Caenorhabditis elegans: one gene and its partners. The protein of the gene in region 3 interacts with the protein of the main gene of each other region in a pairwise test. Each region holds a gene or a part of one and is shown on either strand. Other genes may lie near its edges.

Region 1 (7,574 bases), on a different chromosome or scaffold from region 3:
TTTTGCAAAATCACAAATTGAAAAATTAAGTAATTTTTCACAGTTATATTCGGTTTGTTACTATTATCCATTTTCTGTAATTTAAAATAAAAAATCAAACATTCTTCTTTAAATATAGAAAATCTTGTTCAAGCCGAACATAATTATTGTTTAAAGAAAAGAAAATCAAAAAATTTGTTCCGCCTATATCATGGCGCTTTCTTATGTTTTCAGCTTTCAAATTTAGAAAAAATATTATAAAAAAACTATCGAAGCCGCGCTTCAAAATTTTATTTTTTGGAGCTTCTTACAGTATACACTGTAAAAAACATTTTTGAAATAAGCTTTTACCAACTAAAATCAAAATAAGAAAATCAAAATAATTACAGTCTCGATGATGGAAATGATCGATGAAACAATTGGTTTTGAAGGAAAGAAATTAATTGATATCGGATGTGGATGTGGAATGTTAATGACGACAGCTGCCACAATGTATGAGTTGGAGACTGTTTTAGGAGTTGATATAGATGATGAAGCACTTAAAATTTGTTCTAGAAATTTGGAAACAGCTGAAGTACAGGATAGGTGAGAACTAAAAAAAAAGTAAAATATATGTTTACATTCTAAATTCAACTAACATTTTTCAATTTGAAATTTAACCTACAAAAATACCCGGTCTCGAAGCGGCTCAAAATGTGGAGTTAGAAACTACAGTACTCTTTAAAAGCGCACATCTTTCTGAATTTAAGAAAATCGGGCGCTTCGAGACCGGGTACCGTATTTTCGGCTAAAAATCGTATTTGGGTAATAATAAAAAATTAAAAACTTTCAATTCTTCCAGATGCGAGCTTCTACAAGCCGACATTCTCGACCCGGAATCCGATCTTCCACGTGGCACATTCGACGTGGCTGTCATTAATCCTCCATTTGGAACAAAAAATAATGCAGGTAAATATCCAACGATCTCCTAAAACGTTACAATATCTTAAATTTCTCAGGAATCGATATGCAATTTGTCCAAATCGGTCTTCAAATGGTTCGGCCTGGTGGAAGTGTATTTTCACTTCATAAATCATCAACTAGAGATTATATTCTAAAAAATGCAAAGAAATGGGACGGAGTTGGGGTTTGTTTTTAAATTATTCTAAAATTAGAAAAAAAAATATTGAGTTTCAGGCAGAATGTTGTGCAGAAATGCGGTGGCAACTACCAGCGACTTACAAATTCCATAAACAAAAGGCCGTGGATATTGCCGTCGATTTAATACATTTCAAAAAACTGGATAGTTAATCTCATCAATTTCTGCTGTAAATTCTTCAAAATTGTTTCATTGTTTTGTTATAAAAAATATGCAATCAAGATATGTGAGAAAAGCAAAGAATTCTCTAAACTTTTCCAAAAAATAGAAAACATGTTCAAAATGGATCCGTTCAGAGTGGGAAGTAAATACATAACAAATGGGGACCTAAACTTTTTCCTAAACCTTGAGAAGGGTAAGAAACAAGAAATCACAATAAATAAAGAAGCTCTATATTAGGGAATAATTCATTAGAGAATGATTGGATTAGTTTACAAAGCAGAAGGAATGATCGGAAAGTTATAAATATATATATATATATGTTAAGGGCAGTGATGATTAGAATATTCTGATGTGAGAGAATGGGAGATGGGACAGGAAGAAATTATATAAAAGTGTGAATTTAACCGTATTCAAGCGAGAGAAATGTAAAAATATAATAAATGTGTACAATATTCTAGAAAAATATGAAAATTCCCAGAATTTTTGTACATTTTCTTTGTAAGTAGATGAGTACTTATAGCCGAATCTTCTGTTTGTCACGACGATCCTTTGCACGCCTGCAATTAAAAATATTACAGTATTATTACGGAAATTAACAATTTATCAGAATATATTGAGATCAAAAAGATGCCGTCCCAGTGGTGAATTCAAAAAAAATACGCTTTTCAAAGAAAAGGGATAGGGAACATCAATCTTTTGGTTTATATTCCCTTTCTTTTAATGAATACAATGACCGGTATGGTTCGTCCGTATGTTACCTCTTCCCAGGAAAACGGCGGTCACGTCTGTCCAACACAGTATGTATGTCTGTTTGGATTGGGACGCTACAGGAAAGGGACACACACATTGATTTCCATTTTACAGCACTCTGGGAATCTCTGCCGACGACGTTTCTATTCCCCTCGTAAATCTTTCGATGCGCACTAATATTGTCAAACAAGGCAACAGACAACAAAAAAAACGACTGTTGAGCAGATAATTGGTATATCTCTGCGAGCTGGTCAGAAACCCTTGCTTTATCATTTCTGTAGACTCTTTCATTGAGCTAGAACCTCACCTAATTAAATAAAGGCAAAAACTTGAAATTTGGGGCATTTTGAGTATATTTTTTTGCAAACCTACAAACGATACTCTCCCTTTAACATGCGAGTGAAGGAGATTAACAGTAGCACTTTACGGGAAGTGTTTTATCCCAATAACTTGGAAATTCGCACTAGATATCCTATTCCCTTGTTAATTTCCAAATCCCCGAACGCGTAGATAGCCACACATGCAAGCAGTGACCACCTCTCTTCTACAGTAATACCAATTAGAAAGTCGTAAACGGACCAATTAACAAACTTCATCTCTTCCTCACCTCCACCAGCACGTCTCAAACACTGTGGCCTCCAATTACACAACTTTACGACTCTTTAATTCCTTGGAACTATCTCTACTGCGCGCGTGGACTGAACTGAATCTTAAAGAACGAAAGTGTGGTGGTACTTTTTCCTATGGTTACAGTAGGAGGTGACAGTCATTGTGATGAGTCCCCTGGAAAAGCCTGAGAAAGAGTAAGCAAACAGCAAACAGCAAACAACGTATTTGGCTCGAAAGGGCGCGGAATGAATGAATTCAAATGAGATTTGCAGAGGGCAACATCATCTGTTAATTAAATGACGTTGTGAAATATGTGTCAATATTTGAAGTCTAATCTCATGATTCCAATAAACCAAATTAAACTTTCAGATCTATTAATATGACATCTCACACCATAACAATCCCAATTTGCCACCTCTCATCATATAAATTGAGGTCACTCTAACACTCTTTCACGGCTAAAGACTCTCCTGCTACCTGCCACACGGGTCGAATTGCGTAAGCACCGTAACTCATACACCGCATCACCTTTACCGCCTTTCATCTCTGTGCCAAATCAAGAAAACTTGATATTATTTTGGTGTCTTCAAATTTGTAGTAATCAATCATCCCATTTTAGGCAGTGAGTTTAAAAAAGAATCTACCTATTTTGAAACCAAATCTTGATTTGTCGTTCTGTCAAGCTTAACATCGTCGACAATTGGGACTTGCGATCTGATGTTATGAATGGCGATGTATGGAATTCTTTTTCCAGTTCAAGGCGTTGATAATCCGAGTAAACCATACGGTATTTGTCAGCTGTTCGTACACGGACATCTGAAAATAAGTTTAATTACAAACTCCCTCGTAATAAAATGGGAAATTGATGGGAAAGGAATCATAAATACTCAATTCATTTGTCCTAGTTACTGATAAATATGACTGATAGCGGCTTCTTTTTCACTTGAAGAGAGATTGTTTGCACACGGGGAGACTCTTTTGAAAACTTACTATTCGTTCCAGGTCCCGTTGGTAATGTTTTCCCATCACTGCTTGATCTTCGATCCTTTCCATGATTGTTTCCAAGAGGCATTTTCCACGAGAATCCCTGAAACTTAAATTATCTTTAAAACAAGCTCACTTGGAGGAGAACTAACAGATCAAAAATTGGCTGCTTTATTAGACTTATTAGACATTATTAGAGATATTTATTAGACAAGTTACCACAAACGACAGAATTTCCTAATTTTATGGCAGCTTAAAATATCGAAAAGAGCCAAAAATGCTGAAATCTAAAATTTTATCAACTTATCCTTGTCTAGTAGCTGAAATACAGTTTTTAGTAAGTTTTCATTTTTCATTGCATATTTTGGTAATTTATCTCGTGTTAATTCGTTGATTTAGGCGCGTTCTAAGCCGATAGGCACTGAATTTTTGTAATTTTTGGAAGTAGACTGCTTAAATCAATGAATAAACGCGAGTAGCCGTACCTAAAATATGCAATAAAAAATAAAATTCAATAAAAACTGTACCAACAATTTAGAGTCATAAAAAATGTGAACAGTTTTTGAAAAGTCTCGCTAGGAAATTATGTTTTTTGGTGTTATAAAAGCCAACAAAGGTATTAAAATACAATTTTATATGATTACCTGTTGATAATCCATAAACGGCCAAACAGATTGCTGATAACACGTGGCAGCTCTCATCTGGTAGTTGGCTGCAGCAGCAGCAGCTGCTGAAAGCTCTGAAGAAGATGCAGCTCCAGATGATGTTGATGGGAACGGTGTCATCATATCACTCGGTGATGGATACATTCCACTATCACTACTGCTACTTCCATTCGAAAGCGGTGGCTTCACATCAACGGCTTCTACTGCTGGAATTTGTCCGTTGGCAGCGAGTTGTGGAAGGCCGAATGGATAGAGATCCGGATGTCCCTGGAAATTCAATTTTTAAATAAAAAACCTTAAGGAAATTCATTCAAAACGTACGTAAAAACCAGTATCACCCATTTGTGACCACCTTCCATAGATTTGTGGATCAAATGTTGGTTGCAGCATCTTTTCTCTGAAAAAAGAAAATTAAGTATAAAATGAAAAAAAAAAACAAGAAAAACTTCAAAATATAGCACCTCCTTAATCAAATGTTCTTGTCAATTGATACACACACACACGCCTATTACCTCTTAGACACCCTCCCGCTTCATTCCAACGGTGGAAATGGGCGGAGCAATGTCTTCCAATACACTGTGGAGGCGGGGCGTTACCGTACCCTCCGGATAGATCGAAAATTTGCATATAACCTTTCAAACAAATTCTATCATCAAAAAGGCGACAATATTTGAGAATAAATACATGGTTAGCAAATATTTTGAAGGAGATAAATAAGAGAAAGGGCATGGATTTACAACCATGTGTGTGTGCTGGATTATTAAATATTTATGGTATTTAATTTTGTTCACTTGGTCGTAATGAAACACCAACAGGAAATATTTAATTTTTCGTTGATTTTGAGATTCCAAATAAAAATTTCGAAGATCTAGCCTCAGAGGATGTGGTTGCATGAATGGCATCATTGGATAGTGAGGCCACGTGACATCTGCTGGAACTGTTGTTGGTGAAGGTGTTGATGAGGACTCGTTTTCCGAAAAATCCGACTTGACATCGACCGACATTCTGAAAACGAGGAAGTAATTATCAGTTTATATAGAGAAAAGTGAACAGTAATAAAAATTCAAAATTTGAAGGAAGATTTTCGAGATTTGATGAGAATAGCAATAAAATAACGAGCTGGCAACCCGGCACCGCCTCCTGCGGCTCATTGAGCACTTGGGAAGGCGGGATTTATCAGATATGAACGGGAGAGGGAATTGTGAATGATTTATAGCCACACGTCGATTTTCAGACAAACATATCACTTTTACAATGAGACAGGTCGGCAAGGAAACAAAAACGCCCAGTTCGTTGGGAAATAAATTATTGGTCTGTGCAGGAAACTGTCCGAGACTGTATTCGAAGATGGATTTTCTTACTTTAATAAAATATGCGTTTTTAGAATTGATTTTTAGCATTGAAATTAGCAAGACAAATATAAAAGAAACGTTAAAACTCAACAGAAATGAAGAACAGAAAAAAATTAACACTGAAAAATTTTTACTGACTGATCAGCTCAATAGAGCGCACTTTCCACTTGTCGATTTACGAAGATTTTTATTTAATTTATTGTTCAATAGTTAACTTGCTGTTAAATATCTTTTTATTTAAATAAATATTTTAAAAATTATAAAATTTTGAAAAAGATTAGAAAAAATCATCTAGCCAAAAATTAAGAAAAGAAGAATTTTAGCCACTAAATTTAATTTCAATGAGATCCCGCCTTTAAAATAATTTGAAAAATAGATCACTCACCTCATATTTGATCTACTCGCCCAAATAATAGTAAGTCTACCGGCCATTGAGCCCATCTGGAATTGAGGTTCCATTACGATGTTCATTAGGAAATAAATGAGCGATGAAAGTTTAATTGAGTACGATACGAATGAGCATTTATGACTGACAGGTTCATGTGGAGCAAAGATTACGGTAGCAGAGAATTATTTCTCTTATCAGAAACGAGTGATCTATTAAATAGTTATTCTAAAAGTTGGAGATTCTTAACAAAAAATGTTGCTGAAATCGACAATTTGTCCTCCAAAGATTTGATATAAAAGGCAACAATGAGACCGCCCTTTGACTGATTATGTACCTTCTTTCAGAACATTAAACATTTACGATCTGGGAACTCTGCAGCTGTCATGAAGAACAACAAATGGAGCATCTGAAAATATCAAAGAGTCGCTTACTACTCGATTTCATGCACTATCAAGTTTGACCTGAATATGACCCGGCTGTCTGTTGCGTAATCGTTTTGCTCTTTGTGCATCTATGATACCGCCGTGAGAAGAGCCGCGTCTCGTATTTATTGCCACCCACTGTTGGGAATAGTTAGATAGCTGGTAGGAGAAACAAGATTTATTTACTATAAAATTTATTTGTATCAAAAAAGCTTAAATTTTAAAACAAAAACGAATATAAATTAAAAAAGAAATTTAACACGAGGTCTGCTTTATTCGCAGTGACCTTCTCGCCCCAAGTTCGCCGGCGTGGTTGTTTGAAAAGTGATCCACGAGCTGCTCCTTCGTCTGGGAAACTTCATTGCAGGTCCTGCATCGGAAGCTCTTGAATTTTTCAAGATCCTGAAAAACAACTTCAACTAATTTTTTATAATTTTCAGGCTTACCTTATCGTACTGAGATCCTTTCCCCACCAGCACTGCACCGATGAACACATTATCTCTGAAACTCTCATTTAAATTGAAAAAAAAAACACAACTAGAATTACCTTTCAGCAGATCGTCCATGGTTTCTGTTTTCCTCATCTCGAATCTTTTTCAACTCCTTTGCAGCATCAACAGGTGCTCCGGTCCGCTTGGCTAAATTGGATTGACGAACAACGGCAGACTTGACTCTTTTCGCTGGTTTGAGGGAGCTGGACGATGGATTCTTTTGACCAACCACATCATATGACGAAGCGTGGCTCCTATCGACACGTTCCACGAGAGAATGGACAAGTGCCATCATCTTATCCATATTTTGCTGGCTCCGCTCGTCGGCCTTCTCTCTTTCAGCTCGATGCTCTTCGCGAATGGATCGTTGATCGGCGCGAGCTTCTTCTTGGGCTTTTAGCATCTTCTCACACAACTGCCCAAACATGGATGACTGAGCAGCCAGAGTACCCAGTGAGTGCACAATCTGAAAAATAATTCCATTTCAGTAATGGCTCAATTGTAAAAGTCAATGTACTAACCGCATTTTCCAAAGAGTTTTGTGGTGGTTGGAGCATCGGATTTTGGAGTTGGTAGGGGAAGAATGGGACCATATCGCGGTTGAGGGTAAATCCCGCCATATTCGGTGCACCAT
Region 2 (4,534 bases), on a different chromosome or scaffold from region 3:
CTCTTAACCCGTTCTTTTATACCCATACATAGAGTGTAAAACGTTTTGATATTGTAATAGGACAGAAGAAAAAAAAATGGAAAAAATCGTAGAAGAATGGCACTTCTTACAATATGGGTCATCGCAAACAATTTTGTGTGATACTTGACAAAAGAAGGAAGTCAAAAGTCAATGACTATGAGAAGAAGTCTCAATGAAATTAGAGGAGGAACATCCTAATTGATATATTGGAACGGTAATGCATTTTGGGAGTTCATTTTTAAAAAGTGGAGTAGCGTCAGTGGGGAAATTAATAAAAAATCATTTCTATGGTGCCGAAAAGGCCAAGTATCATAGTAAAACTTCAAAAAAAGTATAGTTCTGTCGCATATTTGATGCAAATTGAGATTTTTTTAATTTTCAAAACAATCATATTAAATCTAGATTTTTTATTGAATTTTATTACTATGTATCATATTTGGTTTTTTTTGAACTAGTGGAATTTCCCCGTATACGGTACTCCTTCTTCAAGCCTTGAATTGATTGATTTGGAAGTAATAGGCTACCGTATTTCCTCTATTGTAGCTTAAATGGAGCCTTCTCAAAACCTCTTAGTGGCATGTTGATAGGCAGGCAAAAGTTTGTTAAATTTTCTTTTAAGATAGAATAAGCTTGACATTTTATGGATCAGATGGTTTCAAATCGAGTTTTTTGTCATAAAATTATCTTCTACATAGAGCTCTTAAAAGTTAGTCTTTCGTGCGAAACTAATCAATGAAATACGGTAATAGATTTGGACTAATATTTATTAGTTGAATCTACGATATTGTTTCTTTACTATGTTTCATCAATTTGCTTGTCATTGGCATCAGTACTTTCCGTCTAAAACCAGATTACATTTGAAGCTTATTCATTAATAACTTTAAGAATTCCTTTACACCAATAAATTGAGAGAGAACGCGATTTTTAGCTGTGATATAGTATTTTGATTGGTTTTTGTAGTTTCCCGATTTATACAATAAAATCATGGTAAATTTTTGCCAGATGAGGTTTCAAAGCAATTACAAAACAATTTCAGAGATTCAGGGTGTCACTACCTTGTGACACATACAACCAGCATTAATCCCGATAGAATATAAGTCGTTTATTGGGATTATAAGTTGTGTTCTTACAATTTTTACTTTGATATAATTAAATAACTGACGTATTGCTTCGTGTTGTATTAATTATGCTTAAATAGATTTCCAGTTTCAAAAACCACAAGTAATAAGACCTGTCAAATAAATTCTTTAAAGAAATTGAAAAATTGAAATGAAATGTTTTTATTCGATTAAAAATGACTAGACGGTAAAGAACTAAATCTTCCTGAGTGTTTACTTTCTGCGGGTTCCGTCCTCGAAGAATACTCCTCCGTCGATGGCGCAGTACTTTGGACAGATTCCCTTCTCTCCGGCACCTCCAGATTGTCCTGGCTGTCCTGGGGCTCCTGGGTTTCCGTCGGCTCCTGGCTGTCCTGGGGCTCCTGATGGTCCCTTTGGTCCTGGGGCTCCGGCTTGTCCTGGTCCTCCTGGGGCTCCTGGGGATCCAGCTGGTCCTGGTGGTCCTTGTGGTCCGGCTTGTCCTGGGGCTCCTGGAGAAGACTCGGATTGAGCGTCGGATCCTGGTTGTCCTGGGGCTCCAGCTTGTCCTGGGTTTCCTGGGGCTCCTGGGGCTCCCTTTGGTCCGGCTGGTCCTGGGGCTCCGGCTCCTGATCCTTGCCCGGCTTGTCCTGGTGCTCCGGCATCTCCTTGTGGTCCTGGGGCTCCTGGGGCTCCAGCTGGTCCTTGTGGGCATGGCTTGCATGGTGGTGGGGTGATTGGCTCACATGGTTGTGCTGGTGGGCGTCCTGGGTTTCCTGGAAGTCCAGCTGCTCCTGGACGTCCTGGTCTTCCTGGCTTTCCTGGGGTTCCGGCTGGTCCAGCGGCTCCTGGAAGGCAGCATCCAGAGCATGATCCTCCTTGGGATCCGGTGTTTCCGGTCTCAACAGCCTCATCGGTTCCGTATCCAGCTTGACGGGCGAAACGGGAAGCGTTCTTTGGAGATCCACGGATGTGGTTCACCTCAGCGAAAATGTCACGAGCAGAGTGCTTGCAGAACTTGATCTCATGGTTGATCTGGGTCTTGATTCCATCAACATAGTTGTACACCAATGGAAGGGTGATGCACAGCTAAAATATTCCATATTCAATTAACTAAAATGTAGAGTGCAAAGAATTCAAACTTACCGAGAAAACGGCGACAACCGAGAAGGTAACAGCCGAGTAGGCGACAAAGCGGTAAGCCTGAAGACGTTGTTGCTCCTCCATTGCAATAAAGATGGGCAAGTGCGCGTTTTACCCGTCCCCACAACCCCATTATATAGTGTTCAGTTCCGTTAAACTGTATTGTATTAAATTTACACTCAAACTGTAATGGGTGGAGAGTGTAGATTAGGTTTGCAGAGTGTTCAGAAATCGTTTGTTCCTTCTTTTTCAATTTTTTTTTCTCAAATAGTCATTTTAGTTGCGCCATTGGCATTGAAGATGCCGGGGAAAATTGGAGAATTAAAGAAAAGGAAGTGATAAGGAAGTAGCTGCCAGCCAGCGACAAGTGACCATGAACTGTTGTGATGGTTGTGTTCTGAAGGTTATAGAAGTAGATTAGGTTTCAAATTAGTCTGGTCAAGTGCTTCAGTCTCATTTGATGTCAATCTTATAGAGTCGACTAGGGCAAGAAAAAACAATCGGAGTTTCTCGAGATGTTCTGAATTTTATGGGATTGAAAACACATTTGTTGAGTTCACATATCTCCAACTTTTCAAAAGAAAAAAGTATAAAACTGTGATTATTTTCTTGCCAAGCTTTGCTTCATGAAAATACCTAACATAAGTTTAAAGTTGTGATTTATTAAGCAATTCTAGTCTATTCAAAATACAGACCCACCGGATGTCAGTTGCTGTAACTTTCAACTGAATAGAATTACATAATTTGGACAGTATTAGAACTAGAAAAAGTATTCGGCAACATTTTGATAGTCAAGAGTATTTTGCTAACTATCACAGTTTTTGGGTTATGCATGTTTAAACATTTCCCCATTTACGATAATAATTGTTTTATTCAAATCAAGGCCTTTTCTTGGATCAAATGGAATATCCAAGGATTTTTCATGCAACTTGCTTATCAACTAAATACAACGACACCAGTTTATTCATACTTCACAAGAAAATAATTAGTAAGAGAATTAACCCTACACTAATTTTCAACACAACTTGGGCCATTCCTTTTTTGTATAATAAAAGACTCTTTACAATAATTTCTTTAGCTTCATCAATTAACCATTCTAAAAAATTCAAGCGCCTACCGCACAAGGCGCTTCCTTTCAATTTGTCCGTCTTTATGTGGCTACTTAACTATTTTGCAAACCAAACACCCGCAACGGCAGCTACTTTCACTTTCCGTATCTCTTAGTTTCGCCTCTTTGTCTATGAAAAACCGACGTAACCGAAGGAGATTCATGTGTACTGTGAGAAGAAATAAAAGAGAAAAAGAAGAAATTACGCAAGATTGAAATGAAATCTGTTTATTTGATCGGAAGAAATAAATCTGACATTTACTTTCTGCGGGTTCCGTCCTCGAAGAAGACTCCTCCGTCGATGGCGCAGTACTTTGGACAGATTCCCTTCTCTCCGGCACCTCCAGATTGTCCTGGCTGTCCTGGGGCTCCTGGGTTTCCGTCGGCTCCTGGCTGTCCTGGGGCTCCTGATGGTCCCTTTGGTCCTGGGGCTCCGGCTTGTCCTGGTCCTCCTGGTGCTCCTGGGGATCCAGCTGGTCCTGGTGGTCCTTGTGGTCCGGCTTGTCCTGGGGCTCCTGGAGAAGACTCGGATTGAGCGTCGGATCCTGGTTGTCCTGGGGCTCCGGCTTGTCCTGGGTTTCCTGGGGCTCCTGGGGCTCCCTTTGGTCCAGCTGGTCCTGGGGCTCCGGCTCCTGATCCTTGTCCGGCTTGTCCTGGTGCTCCGGCATCTCCTTGTGGTCCTGGGGCTCCTGGGGCTCCAGCTGGTCCTTGTGGGCATGGCTTGCATGGTGGTGGGGTGATTGGCTCACATGGCTGTGCTGGTGGGCGTCCTGGGTTTCCTGGAAGTCCAGCTGCTCCTGGACGTCCTGGTCTTCCTGGCTTTCCTGGGGTTCCGGCTGGTCCAGCGGCTCCTGGAAGGCAGCATCCAGAGCATGATCCTCCTTGGGATCCGGTGTTTCCGGTCTCAACAGCCTCATCGGTTCCATATCCAGCTTGACGGGCGAAACGGGAAGCGTTCTTTGGAGATCCACGGATGTGGTTCACCTCAGCGAAAATGTCACGAGCAGAGTGCTTGCAGAACTTGATCTCATGGTTGATCTGGGTCTTGATTCCATCAACATAGTTGTACACCAATGGAAGGGTGATGCACAGCTGTAAAGATATTTTGATTAGAACCTGGCTGAAAAACTTGAAAACTAACCGAGAAAACTGCGACAGTGGAGAAGGTAACAGCCGAGTAGGCGAC
Region 3 (5,256 bases):
ATTACACTAGCGATAAATTTAAATATTAAGAATATTGTACAGAAACAAAACAACAGAATTGAAGAAGAAACGCGTTGTGACACCGGAGCTCTCCCACCAAATGGCCAGCGCAAGTAATGCGAACGCGGACCACTACGCGAGGTGTGCGCACGCAAACGCTACGTGCAGTCTAGAAGAGGTCACACAGCAGAGCGGTCCGCGCTCATCGACCGTATTATCTCGGACCTCCGAGAAACGGCACACAGTGAGAGAGCGAGAGACTACAGAGAGACGCAGAGAGACCCATCTGCAATGTTGAATGGCACTCGAATATGAGATAACACCTAATAATGACGATGGGAAGAAGTAATGTGTTCATGCACGAGCAAATACCTAAAAATTAAAAAGGCAAGGAATCGACAATTTGGTTTAATATCTGGTGTAATTTTTTTTTTTTTTTTTGAAAAAAAAGAATGAGCAAATATTTTAAATACGGTTGGTGTTTTTAAGTACGTCATTCATGTCCACTGCGAGAATCGGGAAATCATGCAGCTGCAATCAACCGTACAAGTACTTGTTTGCTCAATAAAAAACTGTGCACAGACATCCCATCATGGAATAGTTTAGTTTGGTCTGTATTAATAATCCAAGTATTAAACTCGATTGAAATCATACACGGTCGCGCCAAAATAACTGCTCCGTGGATACTGCTAATTTTATCTCGACACCGTTTGCAAGCATGGAGCGCGGTTTCTTAGATTTTTGTTTCAATCATATTCTATGCTTTTTTTAAATTGTAAAAGACTGAAAAGCTTGCATACGGCCCCTCGACTCAGTATGACAGTACTCAGGGAACGATCATTTTGATACGACTCAACTATAACACTTAAAAAAAGGAAAATATGCTTAAACTTGTTTTGCCATTTGACAAAAAAGAAAGAAAAAAGGAGAACTTGAGAATTAAACAATTGCCAGTAACTCGGAATGCGAATTGATACTTCTTCACGCATTGATAATTATCCATCCAATTGTTTACTCTAGAGCAATTGCGGTAAATTGATTAAATATTGACCTTCATCTTTCGCTGTTACCGCCTTCATCTTCTTTCGTATTTCCATTAAAACAATTTTTCTGGCGTACTTCAATTTTGAATTGCAAGAATTCATTTGATAAAACATGATCACTGAAAAATAAATAAAGAGAGTCGGACATAAAGTAAGTTCAAAAATTACATCAAAAAAGGAGATCCAGTGAAAAAAACAAAACAGAAAAATGACAAAAAACAAATTTAACCGGCGAATATGGATGTTTTGAATTTCTAGCTCATATCGATTTCTCCCAAGAAAACACGTTTGTCACTTCCACACGAGAGCACTGAAAAATTGAAATTATTGAATGGTCAAACAATGGAAATTTTAAATTTTTGTAATTTATTTTTAACTCACTGATAGGTTCCTTTGGGTGGAAATCGGTACAGTTGACACTTCCCATGTGACCTGGAAGCTTGTACACAATTTTTTTCGACAGTGTTTCCCAGACGTAGAGAAAACGATCCGACGAGCCAGCAGTGATGAATCTCTCACATGGCGACCAAGAACATTTGAGAAGGTTCTTCTCGAAATTGTGATTATGACCAGCAAAAACTCCCACCGAACGTTGTCCTGGTACGAATGGTCGAATATCCCATTGTCGAACAGTGCAATCCATTGAATTGGAAATGATGAATTTCCCACTTGGTGACAAAGAGATTCCAGTAATTGTGTCACGATGTCCAGTCAGAGTGTAAGTAATCTCGTCACGACGCATGTCCCAAACTTTGAGCACGTTGTCAATTCCACCACTAATCACTTGATCCGAAGAATCATTGAATGTAACTGCTGTCTGCTGGTATCGGTTGGTGTAAGTCTTCACTGGTTCCTTGGTTCTCATATCATGCACACGACATGTTCCATCGTCACTGGCAGAAGCGACAAGAGTTACACCACGACGAGACGGATGGACGGCGTTCACAAAGTCTGTGTGAGTTCTGAAGCGACGAGCGCAAGTCCCGGTTTCCATATCCCAGACACGAACACTTTTGTCTGTTCCACAAGAGACCAAACTGCTGCTGTCGGTGGTGAATTTTAAATCCATAACTGCTCCTGAGTGTCCTTTGATTGTAGAAAAGTTCTCGCATTCGCCGTATACATTCCAGAAGAAGATCTGCAAATCATTGCTTAAAAGGGTTGTTTAGTATGAAGGTAGTTTTATATTCGGTTTTTTCAAGACTATACAAAGTTCTACGTTCAATTGTTCTTATTTGCAAAGACCAATTAATAATTAAATCATAGAATTTAATATTTGAATATAAATTCTTGAGACCACAAGGATTTGAAAAAAACTCACTTTCTGGTCGTATCCACTAGTCGCTAAGCATGTTCCATCTGGGCTGAATGCACCGGTGTAAATTTCTCCTTCATGACCTAGCAAAACCATTGTTGGTGCCTGAAAATATAGATTTCTGTTTGTTGTTTGATAAATGTTTAATATTTACCATCAAATTGGAGAATCTCTGCGCAGTTTGCTGTGGAAATCCAGAGCTGACCAGTTGCTGTCCCGAAGCTGAAATGTTTTATAAAAATAAATTACACAAAATTATAAAATAAACTTACAAGTAACAAGAGCCATCGTTGTGTTGGTAAATGTTGGGTTCCACTGGAAAAACAAATTTGAACACTGGAAGACGTTTTCGAATAGACAATGACGATGCAGTGTGAGAAACGCGGAGACGAGTTGTAAATGCAATGCGGTGGAGCGCGTTTACATTTTCTAGTGCGCACACTTGCCGTTCGTCCTCCCTCCCTGGCAGCAGGTCGGGTCTCCTCTCAATGTCTGCCGGCGCTGAGAAGAGAGCATAGGAAAGAAGGAAAGTAAAAAGAAACAAAGAAGAGTGAGAAGAGCTGCTGTGTGGCAACCAACGACCGCATGGAAATTTGTGGAGGCCACGAGAAAGAGTGCACATTACAGAAAAAAAAACAAATTTTTGCCAACTAGGCAGAAGAGCGTGGTTCACACGGAGAGTGGAGACGACATGGAGATAAACATTGGATTCTGTCCGCTATCAGTTACCTTTAGACGTTATCAAGGCGAAAAAACGCTTGAGGCTACGTACGCATCAGGCTTGCCAAAAAAGGTTCCCCTGGCAACCTGCCAACTCTCCAAGCCATCTCCACTTTTCTTTCCTCCCATGCTGAATCTTTTGTACATTATATCAGTTTAGAGTTTTTTTCCGTTTCTCATTGTTGCTTTTTCGTTTTGATTGTTTTACATATAAATTCATATGTTTTCAGATACTCAGAATATATTTCTCAATCAATTCATTGCGGCACTGATGTTGCAAAGTGATCAAGAGCAATTGCTCCAGGCGCAGCAAGCGTTGAACAGGCTGAATCTTTATCAAATAACTCAGCGAATTGTTACGAATCAACAAAACCAATTTGTTACCCAACAACATGATCAATCAGTTCAACCAAACCATACAAGCAGCCCGGCCTACTATGACGAAAATATAAGAACACGAAATGAGGAAATAGACGGAGCGATTGAGTATCACAGAAATATCCAACCTTTGGAGCACATATCCACTTGTATACTCAATCACATTAATCAATTCTCAATGCAGGAAAAAATGGAGTGGTTACACGACCGACCAAAAGCCGTTGAGACTTTGCAACAACGTTCCACTGTTCTTCTGCATGAATTAAGTAAGTCAATTGTTAACACCAATAAAATAATGTAACAATAATTTCAGCAAACGTTGATGACTTTTCACGCTTGTTCGGTCTCATGAATTTTGGCGAGCGCCAAGTGGGTCTAACGTCAATCCAACAAGAGTATCAGAAAATCCATGCTGTTCTTCAAGAATATCTACAGTTCCAGCAAACTAAAACTATATTGCTTTTGGCTGCACGAATCTTTGGATCGTCTTTACTCAATGGTGGGTTTGAGTTTACAATTTTTACGTGCTGAGTTGTACATCAAAATTTTAACTTTCAAAAAATATAAATTAAGTATTTTCTAGCAAACAAATTGTCAACGTTAGCGTATCTAGCTGAATATGAAATTTGGTTGTTTAGTGCCATTTTTATTTTTGTTAACAATGAAAACTTTGAAGCTATATTTATGTAAAAGTCAGCTAATTAAGCAACAAAACTACAAAATATGGAGGTTTACGTAGAATTTCAATTCAGCAGTTCCAAATAATCAGCTTGCTCAACTGATGTACACTTTCCCGAAACCTGAAGGTGCAATGCAAACCCTCAATTATAATGTTCACAATGGGCTTGGACCATCAACACTCAGCTCACCAGGAAAGATTAAGGAGAAAAAAAGCTTCACCCAATATAGGAAGATTAATGAACGGTTCTCTCAAACAAAATCACCTACCTTATACACAAACATCTTCGGCGAAACTTCGATGTCAGTTATGAACGCAGCCAATGCCATCAGATCCTGGGAAGACAGAAAAGCTGTTGCAGAGCATATTCATACCTATGTTGAGAAGAAAAGTTTACTTCACGAATTCGTTCGCAAAATTTCAAGTGAGATTGAGTTCAAGTTTATAAAAGCGTCAATACTTTTTTTGCAGATATTGGACTTCGAGAGCTCAGTGGTTTCTTTGGGGCAGCAAGAAAACCACTTCCATGGGATGCAAAGGAAAATCAAATCTTTGAGATGGTTTTCCCAAAGTTAGCTGTCTTTTTATACGCAACAAATCGAACCCCACATGTCGTCGCAGAAATGGAGCTTCTCTCTGAACATCAATACGATTTCAAGAAACATTTCAAAACGGCCAACAAGAAAAAATACAATCCAGTGAGTTTCAAATGAATTGTGTTCGTTACTCATTGTTACTCTCAGAATGGGCTCTGTTATTTGGAGGATATTCTGGATGTCTTCGAGGGACAACAGAGAAAGTATCCAAACTGGGATACCAATTGAGTCAAATTATACTCCGGTCATTTCAATTCGCCAATATCTCCAATTCATGTTCTGTGATGCCATCTTCAATGATCCCCGTTATTTTTAATTTCCTGAATATCATTTGTCATTTGATTTTAATAATTTATTCTCGACACATTTTTTTACATTCTTCATTCAAGTAAGGGCATAATAAATAATAATAAACTTTAATTACATTTTCTGTTTCTTTTCCAAGAGCTCTAACCATAAAATAAAAATGATTTAAGCTTTTTGTGAAACTTGCGTATTGGAAAACAAAAAACATATTATCGAGCT

Evidence for each region. The genes of interacting proteins can lie anywhere in the genome.
Region 1: the proteins of snrp-40.1 (region 3) and pal-1 interact in a two-hybrid assay, tested with the Caenorhabditis elegans proteins (one large-scale study listed by BioGRID).
Region 2: the proteins of snrp-40.1 (region 3) and col-93 interact in a two-hybrid assay, tested with the Caenorhabditis elegans proteins (one large-scale study listed by BioGRID).

What each region holds. Positions count from the first base shown.
Region 1 is NC_003281.10:4,803,418-4,810,991, forward strand, and holds pal-1 (Homeobox protein pal-1), read right to left. Parts: upstream 5,293-7,574; 5' UTR 5,292-5,292; coding exon 5,161-5,291; intron 4,685-5,160; coding exon 4,609-4,684; intron 4,555-4,608; coding exon 4,267-4,554; intron 3,943-4,266; exon of another isoform or gene 3,794-3,942; intron 3,732-3,793; coding exon 3,629-3,731; intron 3,455-3,628; coding exon 3,283-3,454; intron 1,837-3,282; coding exon 1,794-1,836; 3' UTR 1,292-1,793; downstream 1-1,291. Other genes in the region: rRNA N(6)-adenosine-methyltransferase metl-5, read left to right, coding at 369-564, 821-927, 978-1,105, 1,156-1,269; C38D4.7 (C2H2-type domain-containing protein), read right to left, coding at 6,705-6,851, 6,896-6,950, 6,997-7,406, 7,462-7,574. UniProt on the Caenorhabditis elegans protein: Transcriptional activator. Interacts with promoter regions for tbx-8.9, tbx-9, elt-1, hnd-1, scrt-1, and vab-7 genes. Binds the sequence ATTTATGAC. Binds to the enhancer region of the hlh-1 gene promoter during embryonic body wall muscle development.
Region 2 is NC_003281.10:10,983,261-10,987,794, forward strand, and holds col-93 (Nematode cuticle collagen N-terminal domain-containing protein), read right to left. Parts: upstream 2,350-4,534; 5' UTR 2,325-2,349; coding exon 2,244-2,324; intron 2,187-2,243; coding exon 1,353-2,186; 3' UTR 1,292-1,352; downstream 1-1,291. Other genes in the region: col-94 (Nematode cuticle collagen N-terminal domain-containing protein), read right to left, coding at 3,607-4,440, 4,490-4,534.
Region 3 is NC_003284.9:11,296,955-11,302,210, forward strand, and holds snrp-40.1 (U5 small nuclear ribonucleoprotein 40 kDa protein), read right to left. Parts: upstream 2,831-5,256; 5' UTR 2,647-2,830; coding exon 2,631-2,646; intron 2,581-2,630; coding exon 2,513-2,580; intron 2,464-2,512; coding exon 2,365-2,463; intron 2,182-2,364; coding exon 1,425-2,181; intron 1,354-1,424; coding exon 1,298-1,353; 3' UTR 1,082-1,297; downstream 1-1,081. Other genes in the region: F08G12.3 (RasGEF domain protein), read left to right, coding at 3,350-3,722, 3,770-3,955, 4,209-4,559, 4,607-4,833, 4,879-4,959.